4 linked regions of the Callithrix jacchus genome follow. The main gene of each other region encodes a partner of the protein of the gene in region 3 in a complex. Links are inferred from orthologs where the notes say so. Each region holds a gene or a part of one and is shown on either strand. Other genes may lie near its edges.

Evidence for each region.
Region 1: DDX39B (region 3) and CHTOP share a complex: the UniProt entries of both Homo sapiens proteins name them as parts of the transcription/export (TREX) complex. The link is inferred for Callithrix jacchus from reciprocal best matches to the Homo sapiens genes DDX39B and CHTOP.
Region 2: DDX39B (region 3) and THOC1 share a complex: the UniProt entries of both Homo sapiens proteins name them as parts of the transcription/export (TREX) complex. The link is inferred for Callithrix jacchus from reciprocal best matches to the Homo sapiens genes DDX39B and THOC1.
Region 4: DDX39B (region 3) and PPP1R8 share a complex: the UniProt entries of both Homo sapiens proteins name them as parts of the spliceosome. The link is inferred for Callithrix jacchus from reciprocal best matches to the Homo sapiens genes DDX39B and PPP1R8.

Annotation. Positions count from the first base shown.
Region 1 is NC_133519.1:14,065,750-14,067,952, reverse strand, and holds the end of CHTOP (chromatin target of PRMT1 protein), read right to left. Parts: intron 1,742-2,203; coding exon 1,536-1,741; 3' UTR 520-1,535; downstream 1-519. UniProt on the Homo sapiens protein: Plays an important role in the ligand-dependent activation of estrogen receptor target genes. May play a role in the silencing of fetal globin genes.
Region 2 is NC_133514.1:63,767,213-63,770,733, reverse strand, and holds part of THOC1 (THO complex subunit 1), read right to left. Parts: exon of another isoform or gene 1,545-3,521; intron 1,139-1,544; coding exon 1,020-1,138; intron 572-1,019; coding exon 523-571; intron 102-522; coding exon 6-101; intron 1-5. UniProt on the Homo sapiens protein: Component of the THO subcomplex of the TREX complex which is thought to couple mRNA transcription, processing and nuclear export, and which specifically associates with spliced mRNA and not with unspliced pre-mRNA.
Region 3 is NC_133505.1:39,026,377-39,030,685, forward strand, and holds the start of DDX39B (spliceosome RNA helicase DDX39B), read right to left. Parts: upstream 2,807-4,309; 5' UTR 2,753-2,806; exon of another isoform or gene 2,636-2,752; intron 2,565-2,635; exon of another isoform or gene 2,217-2,564; intron 2,028-2,216; exon of another isoform or gene 1,950-2,027; intron 1,358-1,949; 5' UTR 1,225-1,357; coding exon 1,014-1,224; intron 1-1,013. UniProt on the Homo sapiens protein: Involved in nuclear export of spliced and unspliced mRNA. Component of the TREX complex which is thought to couple mRNA transcription, processing and nuclear export, and specifically associates with spliced mRNA and not with unspliced pre-mRNA.
Region 4 is NC_133508.1:64,505,581-64,509,101, forward strand, and holds part of PPP1R8 (nuclear inhibitor of protein phosphatase 1), read left to right. Parts: intron 1-914; coding exon 915-1,059; intron 1,060-3,521. UniProt on the Homo sapiens protein: Inhibitor subunit of the major nuclear protein phosphatase-1 (PP-1). It has RNA-binding activity but does not cleave RNA and may target PP-1 to RNA-associated substrates. May also be involved in pre-mRNA splicing.

The DNA.
Region 1 (2,203 bases), on a different chromosome or scaffold from region 3:
TCCAAGGGCCCAGAATGTTGCCCAAGATGATCTTGCTTTTTTGTGGGCATATTATTTCTGCAGGGCTCAGAGGAAGTCAAATTCTTCACTTTCTGCTAAAGCCACAGTCTCTCCAGAATTTTAACACAAGCAGGAAGAGATTCTCTCAACCACACAAGGGGTATATAAAGATATCATTAAAGCGGCAAGGCACAGTGGCTCACACTTGTAATCCCAGCACTTTGGGAGGCCGAGGTGGGTGGATCATGAGGTTGAGAGACGGAGACCATCCTGGCCAACATGGTGAAACCGTCTCTACTAAAAATACAAAAATTAGCTGGGTGTGCTGGCGTGTGCCTGTAATCCAGGCTAATTGGGAGGCTGAGGGAGAATTGCTTGAACCCAGAGGCAGAGGTTGCAGTGAGCCAAGATCACACCATTGTACTGTAGCCTGGCGACAAAGCAAGACTCCGTCTCAAAAGACATCATTAAAGTAGCCACAGCATTTTGAGGCGCTCCAAATAAAGAGTACTGGGTGGATTTGAGCAAACAATTTGTTATAATGAACCAGAAATACAAGATTCCACTGAAACTGGAACAGTTACAATTGGTTGAACTTAAACTTTCAAGGGAAATAAGGGTGAAATAAAGCTAGTGAGTGGAAAAGTCCCGAGATTGGTTTGGGATAAAATGAGGATAATTACATTTTGGCATGGATATTTTCTGACCTCTTCCAGCACTTCATCCGCCATCATTCTCCATTCTGACACACCTACCAAATCAAATGGCTTTTTCCTCTGTATTATTTATAGGTATAAACCAACCCTATAGTACCCTCCTGGATACAAAGCCAAGAGAAAGTGTGTAAATCTCACAGAATGGTAGAAATCTAGTACAACTCAACCCAGCATGCTGGTTATACATGTGTCAATGTACATGGTAGCAACTTTGACCAAATCAGAGCTGCTATCACATGTAAGCAACCTCTTATGCTGCCCTGTAGTGATGTCAATGTGCTCATTTACTAAATTATCAATGTGGAAGAATGCATCTTTGAGCTCCAGACTTTCTTAACATTTTAAAGAGGCTATTGAAGAGGATGTGACAGAACCCTACCTCAGAAATCTAAGCATCAGGGAGGAACACTTTTTTTTCTGGGACCTTTCTGTGGGGGCAACAGAGATCAACAAAAGAAATGTTAGCATGTCAGAGCATCTGACAAGTGAGGGAAGGCAGAGGTAGGAAGAGGGTGTTCTAGCCACAAGGCTAATGCATTTGTGTTCAAAGAGAAGTCTGGGTACAGGAGGGGAAAATACCCCACCCCCGAAAAAGAAAACAAAAACAAAAAACCAAATCAAAGGACAAAAGGGCTTCATACAATACAGTATCAAAAAGTAAAAGGAACACACTAAATGCACAAGCTGGTGGCAAGTAAGTCCATAGCCTATTGTAATAGGTCCATCCAGCATCAATCAGATTTCTTCTCATCTGTTATCTCAAGGCTATTTACAGACGTGTGGACTAACAAGAGTCTCTCATGGCAGGGTGGGCAGGCTTCAATCATTGGTTTCGGGATCTGTCTGCGCCATGTAGGCATCCAACTCAGCATCCAGGTGTCCTTTTGTTTTCGACATGTATGCATCCAATTGGTTGTCCAGCTGCTCCTTGGTCAATACAGGGCGAGCAAGGGCACCTCTCCCTCGTCCACGGCCTCGGCCTCGGCCTCCAAAGCCCCCTCTTCCCCGACCTATCATACCCCGACCTGGCCCAAAGGAGAAAAAAAAAAAAAAAAAGAGAGACAGTTACAAATAAGTTTAATAGGTGCTATAGTAAATGCCCCTTAGAGTTGCAGGGCCTAGCTGAGAAAAGCTGAAGGGCAGGGAAAGAGGAGAAATGTGGAAAACAGGAAAGACACTGGGTAGAAAGCCACACATGGAAAGCACACATAATGAATCCCTTGTCACAGGATCATCTCTAAATGCTATTTGAACAATTATTATTCTATCAAAAAAGGAAAGTAATTAACTGACAACTATAGTTAAAAAAGAAAACCTTAACTGAACCTAAGATTTGAGATTCACTAAGTTTATAATTAAAATACATAACCTTGTTTAGTAAGATAGGCAGGTGGTAACAAGGGTACAGATAATCAGGGTGTAAAGTAAGATGGTTTTCAAATTAAGTTTATCAGAAACCCTTCTGGAACGTTATCTCATCTTTCTTT
Region 2 (3,521 bases), on a different chromosome or scaffold from region 3:
CTTACCTGATTTCTCAGACAGAGGGAAAAGCCTAGCCAAAAAGAGCTGAATTCGTCCACAGAAGACTGTATTCTGGGATTTAGATAATCTTCTTAGGAGATCTAACAATATACGAAAATAAACGTTACACAGGATAATTCTATGTTTATTACAACCATAGAAACTTATTAGAAACTTTTAAGTTTCTAAACCAGTTTGTCAAGAGTATTTTCCTAAAGCAGTTCTTCAAATGGGAGCAGAAACCACTGCCCCCAAAAAGTACTATAAATTAGGAACAAAACAAGTTCAACAGGACATGAAAAAGACAAACTTTACTATAACGTTTCTGATTTTCATCAAATTTACATCCAGAACAAAAACAGTTTAAAATGAATGGTGAGTTCTAACAAATCAGAATGTTAGTTGAAAATGCAGATACCTAATCTACCTTCAAAATGTTATCACTGGTATTTAATTCAACCGCCTGTTTTTCTGGGCACATTTACATTTTAAAAACAAACATTTTATCACTCAATTACTTACCATTGCACATGCGTAGTAAGTAATTTTTCCCAGCAGAATAGAATGTATTCTGAAATTAAGATGGAAATTATCACTCTTCTTCAGAATTTGTTACACATTCTTCAATAATAAGTCACAGGAAGTCAAATACTAACATGCACTGAGAATCTACTACGCCACTTTCACTTTTTTTAAGTGAATAACATTTTCAATGAAATAAAAATATTTTTCAGATATACAAGATAACATGATACTAAGTAATTGTTTTAAACATGTGAAAGTGTACATTTTCAAGTTAATTTTTACTACTCAAATTAAATCAAATTTTGTATTTCAAGTTTTTCTCCACACATGGTTTTTATTTGGCTCTACCAAGAGAGCAGTATATACTTTTTTCACAGTCACAAACTTGTTCGTGATCAGCAATACTAGAAATAAATTAGAAAAAAAAATCTATCCTCAGAACTCTGGATCTATAGACAGATAAAGTTAGCAGGAAAAGAAACTAAGGCACTTACTGATTTCCAAGTAGCAACATTTTTTTCCACAAAAGTGAATATTGTGTCACACTGATCCAAAGGAAGACAATCCAAAACATCTCCCAACAATACAAAAGGTGTAGATGCAGTACAAATACCTTCAAGTGGAGCACAAGCCAATTTAAAAGTGTAAAAAACTATAGAGTAAAAGAGCCCATAAAAAATAATTCTGAAGAACATCTTAAAATGTACACTTTGTTACTCATAACAAGGTTTTTAAAGGAAAAGAAATGGAAGCAATCTAAAAGTCCCCAAACAGGACATACTTAAGTAATTTTTGATATGTGCACTCAGTAATGATAATTCTTGACAAGATCTAGAGCATTTACTATATGTCAGGCACACTAAGTGCTTTACATATACTAACATATTAATCCTTATAACCCTATGAGGTAGAGCATATCATTATTTGTATTTTATAGAATGGGAAAACTGAGACACAGAGAGGTTAAATAACTTGCCCAAGATCATAGAGCCAGTAAGTGGTAGAGCTGGGATACGAACCCAGGCAGTCTGGCTCCACAGTCTGTTTTCTTCACCACTAAGCTATTCAAAAGAATATAATGCAGCCAATTAAAAACGATGGTTATAATGACTATAACAACTTGGAAAAATGCTTATGATATAATGCGAAGTGAAAAAGGCAGGATTCAAAACTGTATGTACATATGGTTATGACATTAAAAAATTATTAAAAGACTATAGAAACTAAACCATTATACCAGATGAATGGCAGTTTTTAAAAGTAGAGGAATTATGAGTACTGTTTTCCCTTTTTCTCATTTCCAAATGTTTTGTAATGCTGCTAAATTGCCTTGGTGATTTGAAAAGATTATCTTCAAAAAATAACAAGGTTTGATACTGATTTTAACTATTATTTAATATTTAAAATGATAGGACTGTTTCAGGGGAAAGAATGGAAAAGTAGAAAGTTGCTGTTTAAAGAACAAAATAAAAATTTATCTTAAGAAAAGTTCATTTAGACTACTCAGAAATACTTTTATATCCCTACTCATTCTTCTTTCTATTTTAAGGTAATGGGTACTTACTAACACTCATAAGTGTTTAAGAAAAATAGCCACTTAGGCATGGTATATGGAGGGAAAATATCTAGGGTGCTCTAAGCCCCAAATGATCTATTAATATAGTATGTCCAGAAAAAGGAAGAAATATTTCCAGCTCTACTCTGCACTAGTAAGATCACATCTGAAATGCGATGTGAGGGATACTGCCTAAAAGCAGTGGGTGGAATAAAGAACAGATTTCAACTCAATACAAGGGAACACACCAATAACTAGTTCTGTCTAACAGGACTCTAACAGTGAGTTCCTCTAATGAGCATGATTCAGCAGAGCTGGATGACTACCCATCAAGGATGTTACAGCAGAGAAGCAGTCTGGGCTAGAGATGAGACTGGACTAGACAACCTCTGAAGTCCCTAACAATACTTAGATTCAGTGATATTATATATCCTGCACATCCAAAAGATTTGAGAAGCATACTCTCTGCCCTTAGTTGCAGTATAGCCTGGAATAAGTAAACTCACATTTAATAATTATAGAACTTAAGAAAATTTTCTAGATTCTACTGCCAAAGATTCTGAGTCAGTAGGACTAAGTAAGGTTTGAGAATCTCATTTAAAAATAGATTCACTGGCGGTTCTGATGAGCCAGCAAGTCTGGGAACCACTGGGTTATAGTGTGATCCCCCAAGAGCTTTCACAACCTGTGCTCCAGCTTCCATACCAGCCTCTCTTCTTATCTTTACCTGGGCTACAGACATCCCTCCCTGGTTCCCACTCCCCAGTTCCCAAACACCATGCTATGTTCATCCTTCCATGTTTTGTTTACAATGTTATTTTCTGCCTAAATATTCTTCCTCATCTTTACCACAGGGTACATTTCAACTCCATCTTTCTAAGCACAGAGTGAATGTCAGCTCATCTAAATAACTCTGATATCTTGAAGCAGGCTACTTCATTTACGCTTTTTAAGCACACTGTACATAAATATACTGTAGAATTTAGCACATCCAACTAGTTACCTTTGAGTGTAGACTATGAGTTTTTTAAGAGTAGGAATTTTTGTATGCTTAAGCCAGTAGTGTTTCACACTGAATAGAAGCTCAATAAATATTGGCCAAATTGAATTTAACAAAATATATTTATGGATAATTTAAAAACATGTCACATAAGCAAATAATAATCTCTCAAAAAGAAAAATTCCCCCTAAAATAAAAATGCATTTATGCCTCTACAGTTTAAGCTCTTAAGTCCTTACCCTTCTTAAAAGTCTCAAGTACAGACTACATTTTGTACAATGTTTTCCATTAAAAACATCAAACACACACAAGAGTAATGTATAAAGTCAATAACCTAAGAACAGACTGAAAATTGATGGAAACCAGACAAGGAATATTACATTGTGGAACTCATCTAACTATGCCTAATGAATGAATGCATGATTAGGCATCTCGTATAAA
Region 3 (4,309 bases):
AGACTGCCCTACTTTGGATCACATAACTGCAACCCTGAACGAAATGAAGGACTTGGTACCTGACCCAGAAGCCAGTCATCTTTAAACCAGTCACAGAGGCTTCCAGAGACCACAGGTGGCCTGGCCCAACAAAGGGGGTCTACAGGTCCAACCAGGAGCTCTCTGGAAATTTAAAATTAGAAGTGACAAAATTAAAAATAAGCAGACAAGGCCGGCCATGGTGGCTCACGCCTTAATCCCAACACTTTGGGAGCCCGAGGTGGGCTGACCATGAAGTCAAGAGATTGAGACCATCCTGGCCAACATGATGAAATCTATCTCTACTAAAATACAAAAAAAAAATCAGCCAGGCAAGGTGGTGCATGCCTATAGTCCCAGCTACTCTTGAGGCTGAGGAAGGAAAATCACTTGAACCCAGGAGATGGAGGGTGCAGTGAGCTGAGATCATGCCACTGCACTCCAGCCTGGCGAAAGAGCAAGACTCCGTCTTGGAGAAGAAAAGCCAGTCACAAGAATGAAGAGCAGACCTATAAGTTACTCTTGAATCACTGGCACTTTGTTGCTATCATAAAAGAAACAATAAACCTGTATAAGCCTCCTATATCCAAAATTGTTTTTGATACTTATCTCCTGATTTTTTTTCCCTTGCTGTCACCCAGGCTGGCGTACTGTAGTACAATAATGGTTCACTACAGCCCCAATCTTCAGGGCCCAAGCAATCCTCCCCTGGCTTGCCATACCTCTCCATGTGTACGCCACCACACCTGGCTAATTTTTGAACGTTTCATAGAGACAGGAGTCCCTAGGTTTCCCAGGCTTCTCCTGCACTCTTGAGCTCAACTGACCCTCTCCTACCTTGGCCTCCCATAGTGCTGGGATTACAGGAATGAGCGACTGCAACTGGTCCTGATCTAGCCTTAAGTATAAACCTTTACCACCTGAGCAACAATGAACACATCTTTTTATCATCCTTAAAGAGCCTAATGAGCATACATGCCCAAGAGAAAATTTACCTTCTGATGGATGCTCAAAGCCACAGTCGACAATGGCCCGGAGCAACTCTGGCTTGAGCAGGAAGTCACGAAAGCCAGAGCTGTGGATGGAGACATAGGAGCCCTTGACATCCTTCTTGGCAGGGGCCTCAGCCCCATCTCCCCCAGCTGCTGTCTCCACCTCATCATCTTCATAGTCCAAGAGCTCATTGTCTACATCGTTCTCTGCCATAACTGGGCCGGCAGGGGAAAAAGGGAAGGGGGCTCTGGATGGGTTCTTGGAAAATAGGTGAAAACAAGGGGTGAAAATTAGGGGGTTGATGAACAGCAAAGGAAAGCAAAGATACTAGTTTCTAAAAGAAGAGCTGCAGGGGGGGGGAGAAAAAAAAAGCAAGATTTAGTCATAAGCAGAGCCTTCACCTCCTCTTTTCCATCCCCAGTTCCCACTTCCCCTAAACTGGGAAACTTTTACCTGGAAAGAGAAACAGATACAAAACATACAAGCGAAAAGCAAATAAAACAGCATAGAAAAAGCAGTCCCAGGGAAAATGCTTAGGACACAGGATCCCAACAAGATTAGCAATCCGAGTAGCAGAAACCAGAAAAGTTGGAACAGGAAGACCAACTTATACATTCTTGATCTGGGCCGGGCGCAGTGGCTCACGCCTGTAATCCTAGCCCTTTGGGAGGCCGAGGTGGGTGGATCACCTGAGGTCAGGAGTTCAAGACCAGCCTGGCCATCATGGTGAAACCCCATCTTTAAAAATAAATAAATAAAAAGAAAAAAAAATAAATTCTTGATCTGAAAGTAACAAGGATGAAACAAAATAGATAATAAAGGATAAAATACTACTAATAACTTGGAGAAGTGGAAAATGGAGATGACAGAGTCCGAAAAATCCTCATAGGACCGCGCTTTCCCTATTATAATCCCAACGTGCAGATGCCTAACTCAGCAGCCATCAGTCAAGGGTGATAGATGAGGGTCATCACTGCGCAAAGCGCTCACCTTTCGAAAGGAAAACATCATATGGCCGCCGTCCACCTCCCACTTCTCAGTACCCTCCCTTCCGTTAAGATATCCTTGTGTAATTAGCATGGGGCGGGCAGTGCAAGACAAATGGCTCAGCAACAACAACAAAAAATTTCACGTCTCCACCCTACAATAAGCTAAGAGTTGACAGAGAAAGGCAATCCCCACCCAGGCTTCGACAAAATCTTTACCAAGTGGTCTCACATCACTGTTGCGCTACGAAGGTGAGACTCCTTTCTGAGAAACATACAATGACACCAATCGTAAACACTTGGAAGGCACTCCAGATTAGGTTGGGCAAGTCGAGGTGAGAAAAATCCAACCGGCTCCTCCTCCCAGCCCCATCGTGGGCCGAGAAAGGGCCCAAAAAAAGACAAGGAAGGTGAGAAGAGCCCCGCCCTCCGCAAATACCAAGACCAAGGGACGCCTAGCGCCGCCTCTCATTGATGATGAGGCCTCCAATATGAGAAGAACCCACTGGATGAAGGGAGCAAAGCGAACACAATGGCGCCGAGGACACCATCTTGGATTGGGCCCCCTCTTAGCTACCCTTCCTCCCCCCAGGAACAGTTTGCTCTCGAAAGGGATGCAGGCTACAGAAATAACGAACCAACTAGGCCCCAGCGATCAGACCAGCGCCTGTGAAGAGGGTATCAGGAACCCATGTGACGGGATGGGTACGGAGAAGCGCAGATGAAAACGGATTGTAGCGAAGGCCGAAGCTTACCTAAGCAGGGAGAGCGCGTATGGCGGCAGCAACAGCGACGAAGGAGGGAAATCTGCCTTCACTTCCGGTTGCAGCCTTCTCTCTACTGCGGCCTCCCGCCTTCTTGGCTGCAAGAGCGCAGGCGCAAAGGACCGGAAACAGGGCCTTCCGCAGTTGTATGGATCCGCGCGCTCCAGGCTTGCCTTTGGAAAATGCCTGTCTGAAATTTGTTTTAAAACCATTTCTAACTTCCCTGCTACCGCCAGTAACAAAAGTTATAAAGGAAACTAACATCTCCTCCCACTGTTATCTTTCTGATCTTTTTCTACTCTTCTCCATGCCCCTCATCTCTTCGTTTAGGTTTTTGCCACGCAGGTCTTCTCTCTAGGCACCCCTCCATGGACGCGCGAGGAACGAGAGTGGCAAGGCCTGCGAGTTCCCACGGGGTCCTTGGCCCTGTAGTGAAGGTGACCTGAGGGCGGCTGTGCACGCACTAGGAAACGGCAGGCCCTAGCTGAGGGAAGTCTAAGGGAACTGGCGTACTCGTGGGTGTTGTCCGACTCTTTCCCTGTGGTGGGGCTGGTGGGCGGCATTTTCCCAAAACGATGCTGTCCTAGGTAGCTGATCCCTAGGGCCAGTGAGTCCGGAAGGTGTTCTGAATCCGAACGGGAGACTGGGTCTGGATTCTCCCCTAAGTGTTAATAGTAGGGCCTGAGGGTTATACTACATTTCATTAATTTTGTTTTTTGGTTTGAGACGGAGTCTTGCTCTTTCGCCCAGGCTAGAGTGCAGTGGCGCGATCTCGGCTTACTGCAAACTCCGCCTGCCGGGTTTGAGCGATTCTCCTGCCTCAGCCTCCCGAGTAGCTGGAATTACAGGCGCCTCCACACCCAGCAAATGTTTGTGTTTTTAGTAGAGATGGGGTTTCACCCATGTATGACCTCAGATGTTCCACCCACCTCGGCCTCCCAAAGTGCTGGGATTACAGGCGTGAGCCACATCGCTTGGCCCATTAATTCTGTTAATTTGAGCAGAAGTTTTTGGCCCCGCCCCAACAGTCCCGTTGTTCAGCCTGGATTTTTTTCTGCTTGAAACATTTGACTTCCCCGTCTTTGACATGGGGAGCTACAAAAATAAGACATAATGTCCTGCTGTGTAACATAAATAACAAACGTTTGGCCTTCTCCCTGTTAGCACATTTAATACTAAGGAGTAAGTACCGTTATTCCCATCTCATTGACAGAGGCAAAGCAACATGTCCCAAGGAGTACGGCTGGTGAGGTTACAGCCAGGATGCAAACACCTCTAATTCTCTATTGTATTCTGCCTCCGTGCTCAAAGAATCTGGTTACTAAATACCTAGGGGTTACCTCATTAGTTCAAATCCTTGGTGAAGCAAGCTTATCTTCAGTAATAAAATGAAGTAGCTGATTCAAGAATGGTGTCATAAAAGGGCTGCTTTCCCAAGTATCATTTAATTTATTCAAAAGTATTTACCAACTGTCTACCCTGTGCCATGTGCTGTCCTAGCATCTGGGGACACAGCAGTGAATAACCCTGTTCTCACAGTGTTTACAA
Region 4 (3,521 bases), on a different chromosome or scaffold from region 3:
CATGTCCTTAACCACCCACATGCATTTACTATTCCTGTACACCAGAGCAGTTTCCCAGCTCTTAGGAAGAAAGGCACAATAGAAATTGTACAGTTTAGAAGTCGTTTTCTTGTGAAGAAGTAGGTTCATAGCCAGGGACCTTGCTGGCAGTCACCGTTGCCCATTTCCCCTTCAGGCCGCCTCTATCCAGGCTGCTTCTGTGCTTCCATGGCTTTTAGTTCAGCATGTTAGATGCTCCCTGGATATTCATTCTTAAGACATTTAGAGTATCTCAAACTGGTGTTTTGTACCAGAATGGAATAATTTCAGTGGATTGGGAAGAGGCAAGCAGCAGGCCAAGTTAATTATTGAGATAGTTATGAATAGAACTGGGACCAGACACACAACGGGGAATGACAAAATATTAACGCCGAAAATTAAGGGCACTAGCAGTCTCTTTAATTTTAAAGGAGAAAGCTACTGGGAAAGAAGCAGCCAATTGTCCTTTTTCATCTCTATTTTGTTACTTGAAAACAATTATTGATGTTCCTCCCAGCCACATTTCCTTTTAATTATCAGCTTGTTGTGGACATGAAGACATGAGAGTCTTTCTTTAACAGCAAAAGATAACACAACTCAAGTATTTGCACAGATGGACATGTTCTCAGCTCAAGGCCCTTTACTTCCTTTTGAATATCACTGCCCCACTAGTCAATGAGGATGTTCCTTCCACATTCTTTCTAATGAGATTTGAGACTTGTTAATATTAGTAGTGTCGGCATAGTATGGATCTTCTCTAAATGCAGAAGAGTCTCATCTGTCTTTGTAAGTCAAGATTAGCCCCTCATGCCTTCCTGACCTTTATTTAGTATTATTTTCTCCATCAGATTCCCTTTGTACTGACTCCTGTCTTTCCTGTATGAACCCTGGCTTAGAACCTGACAGAGTTCAACACTGCCCACAACAAGCGGATTTCTACCCTTACCATTGAAGAGGGAAATCTGGACATTCAAAGACCAAAGAGGAAGAGGAAGAACTCAAGGGTGACATTCAGTGAGGATGATGAGATCATCAACCCAGGTGAGGTGTCTTGCTAGTTCATTCTGATGAAAAAGCTGTGATTGGCCCAGGCACAGTGGCTCATGCCTGTAATCCCAGCACTTTGGGAGGCCAAGGAGAGTGGATCACTTGAAGTCAGGAGTTCAAGACTAGACTGGCCAACATGGTGAAACCCCATCTCTACTAAAAAAAAAAATATATATATATATATATATATATATATATATATATATATTAGCCTATATATATATATATATAGGCTGCTTTATAATATAATATATATATATTAGCTGGGTATGATGGTGCTTGCCTGTAGTCCCAGCTGCTGGGGAGGCTGAGGCAGGAGAATTGCTTTAACCCAGGAGGCAGAAGCTGCAGTGTGCGGGGATTGTGTCACTGCACTCCAGCCTGGGCGACAGAAAAAAAAGAAAAAGAAAAAAAGCTGTGGTTGGCCAGGCATGGTAGCTTATGCCTGTAATTCCAGCATTTGGGAGGCTGAAGTAGGTAGATCGCTTGAGGCCAGAATTTCAAGACCAGGCTGGCCAACATGGCAGAACCCTGCCTCTACAAAAAATATAAAAATCAGCCAGGAGTGGTGGCACACACCTATATAGTCCCAGCTACTCCAGAAGCTGAGGCAGGAGAATCGCTTGAACCTGGGAGGTAGAGGCTGCAGTGAGCCGAGATCATGTCACTGCACTTCAACCTGGATGATGGAGTGATACTGTCTCCAAAAAAAAGTTTCCAGGGTGGGACCTAGAAGTTTATATAATTTTTAGTTTTTCTTTTTTTTTCTTTTTGAGACAAGATCTCATTCTCTCGCCCAGGCTAGAGTGCAGTGGCACAGTCATGGCTCACTACAGCCTTAACCACCCAGGCAGGCTCAGGTGATCCTCCCACCTCAGCCTCCTGAGTATCTGGGACAACAGGTACATGCCACCATGCTCAGCTAATTTTTGTATGTTTTGTAGAAACAGGGTTTTGTCATGTTGCCCAGGCTGGTCTTGAACTCCTGGGCTTATGCAGTCCTCCCGCATCAGTCTCCCAAAGTACTGGATTATAAGCATGAGCTCCCATACCTGGCCGAAATTTATATTTTTATATATATATATATGATTTTTTTTGAGATGGAGTTTCGCTGTTGTTACCCAGACTGGAGTGCAATGGCATGATCTCGGCTCACTGCAACCTCCGCCTCCTGGGTTCAAGCAATTCTCCTGCCTCAGCCTCCCGAGTAGCTGGGACTAAGGTGCACACCACCATGCCCAGCTAATTTTTTTTTTTGTATTTTTAGTAGAGATGGGGTTTTACCTTGCTGACCAGAATGGTCTTGATCTCTTGACCTTGTGATCCACCCACCTCGGCCTCCCAAAGTGCTGGGATTATAGGCGTGAGCCACCGTGCCCGGCCTGAAATTTATATTGTTAATGAGCTCCTGTTTGTACACAGCCAGCAGTTTGGGAACCACTGGACTAGACAAATTTCTTAAGTCTTTTTCAGGAGTGAGGACCGGGTCTGCTCTGTTTTTCTCATTGAAAGTTAGTGCCCTAGAGCTTTCTTAGGGAAGGGTATTCCAGCAGTTAGTATAGTGATTAAGAGCATAGGCTCTGAAACCAGAGGGACAATGAAAGAAGATTGGGGTACCTTTTTAGAGACATTATCTCTCTCTGGGATCCTCTCTAGGATGGGAAAAAAAAAAGAGAGAGAGAGACGTTATCTCTTTCTTTTTATTTTGTTTTTATTTTTTTATTTTTTTGAGACGGAGTTTCGCTCTTGTTACCCAGGCTGGAGTGCAGTGGCGCAATCTCGGCTCACCGCAGCCTCCGCCTCCTGGGTTCAGGCAATTCTCCTGCCTCAGCCTCCTGAGTAGCTGGGATTACAGGCACGCGCCACCATGCCCAGCTAATTTTTTGTATTTTTAGTAGAGACAGGGTTTCACCATGTTGACCAGGATGGTCTTGATCTCTTGACCTCGTGATCCACCCACCTGGGCCTCCCAAAGTGCTGGGATCACAGGCGTGAGCCACCGCGTTATCTCTTTATTGATGAGCTTGGATATTTTTTCCTTTCTCTTCAATATAGAAGCCATTCATTCACTGATCATAGATTGATTGATGGTGAGCATAATAGCAGAGTGTGCTCTTTAAAGGCATCTGAATATGTGAAAATCCAGACTTAAAGCAAACAAACCCAAGGCTAATTCTAATTACTCAAATTAAATAGGGATTCTTTGTTTTCCAAGGGGATTCCTGAGAGTGTTTCTTTCAATAACAAGCAACCTCATTTAATATATGATTGCTGCATCTATTAGGGAAACTATTGCTATATTAAGTTAATTGGGGCTTGGAGTAGTTTTCTTTAGTAGTGATACATAAGTTGGTGCCTGCCTGTTTCTACACATTAAACATTCAGTGAGCCGGGCGCGGTGGCTCATGCCTGTAATGAGGTCAAGAGATCGAGACCATCCTGGTCAACAAGGTGAA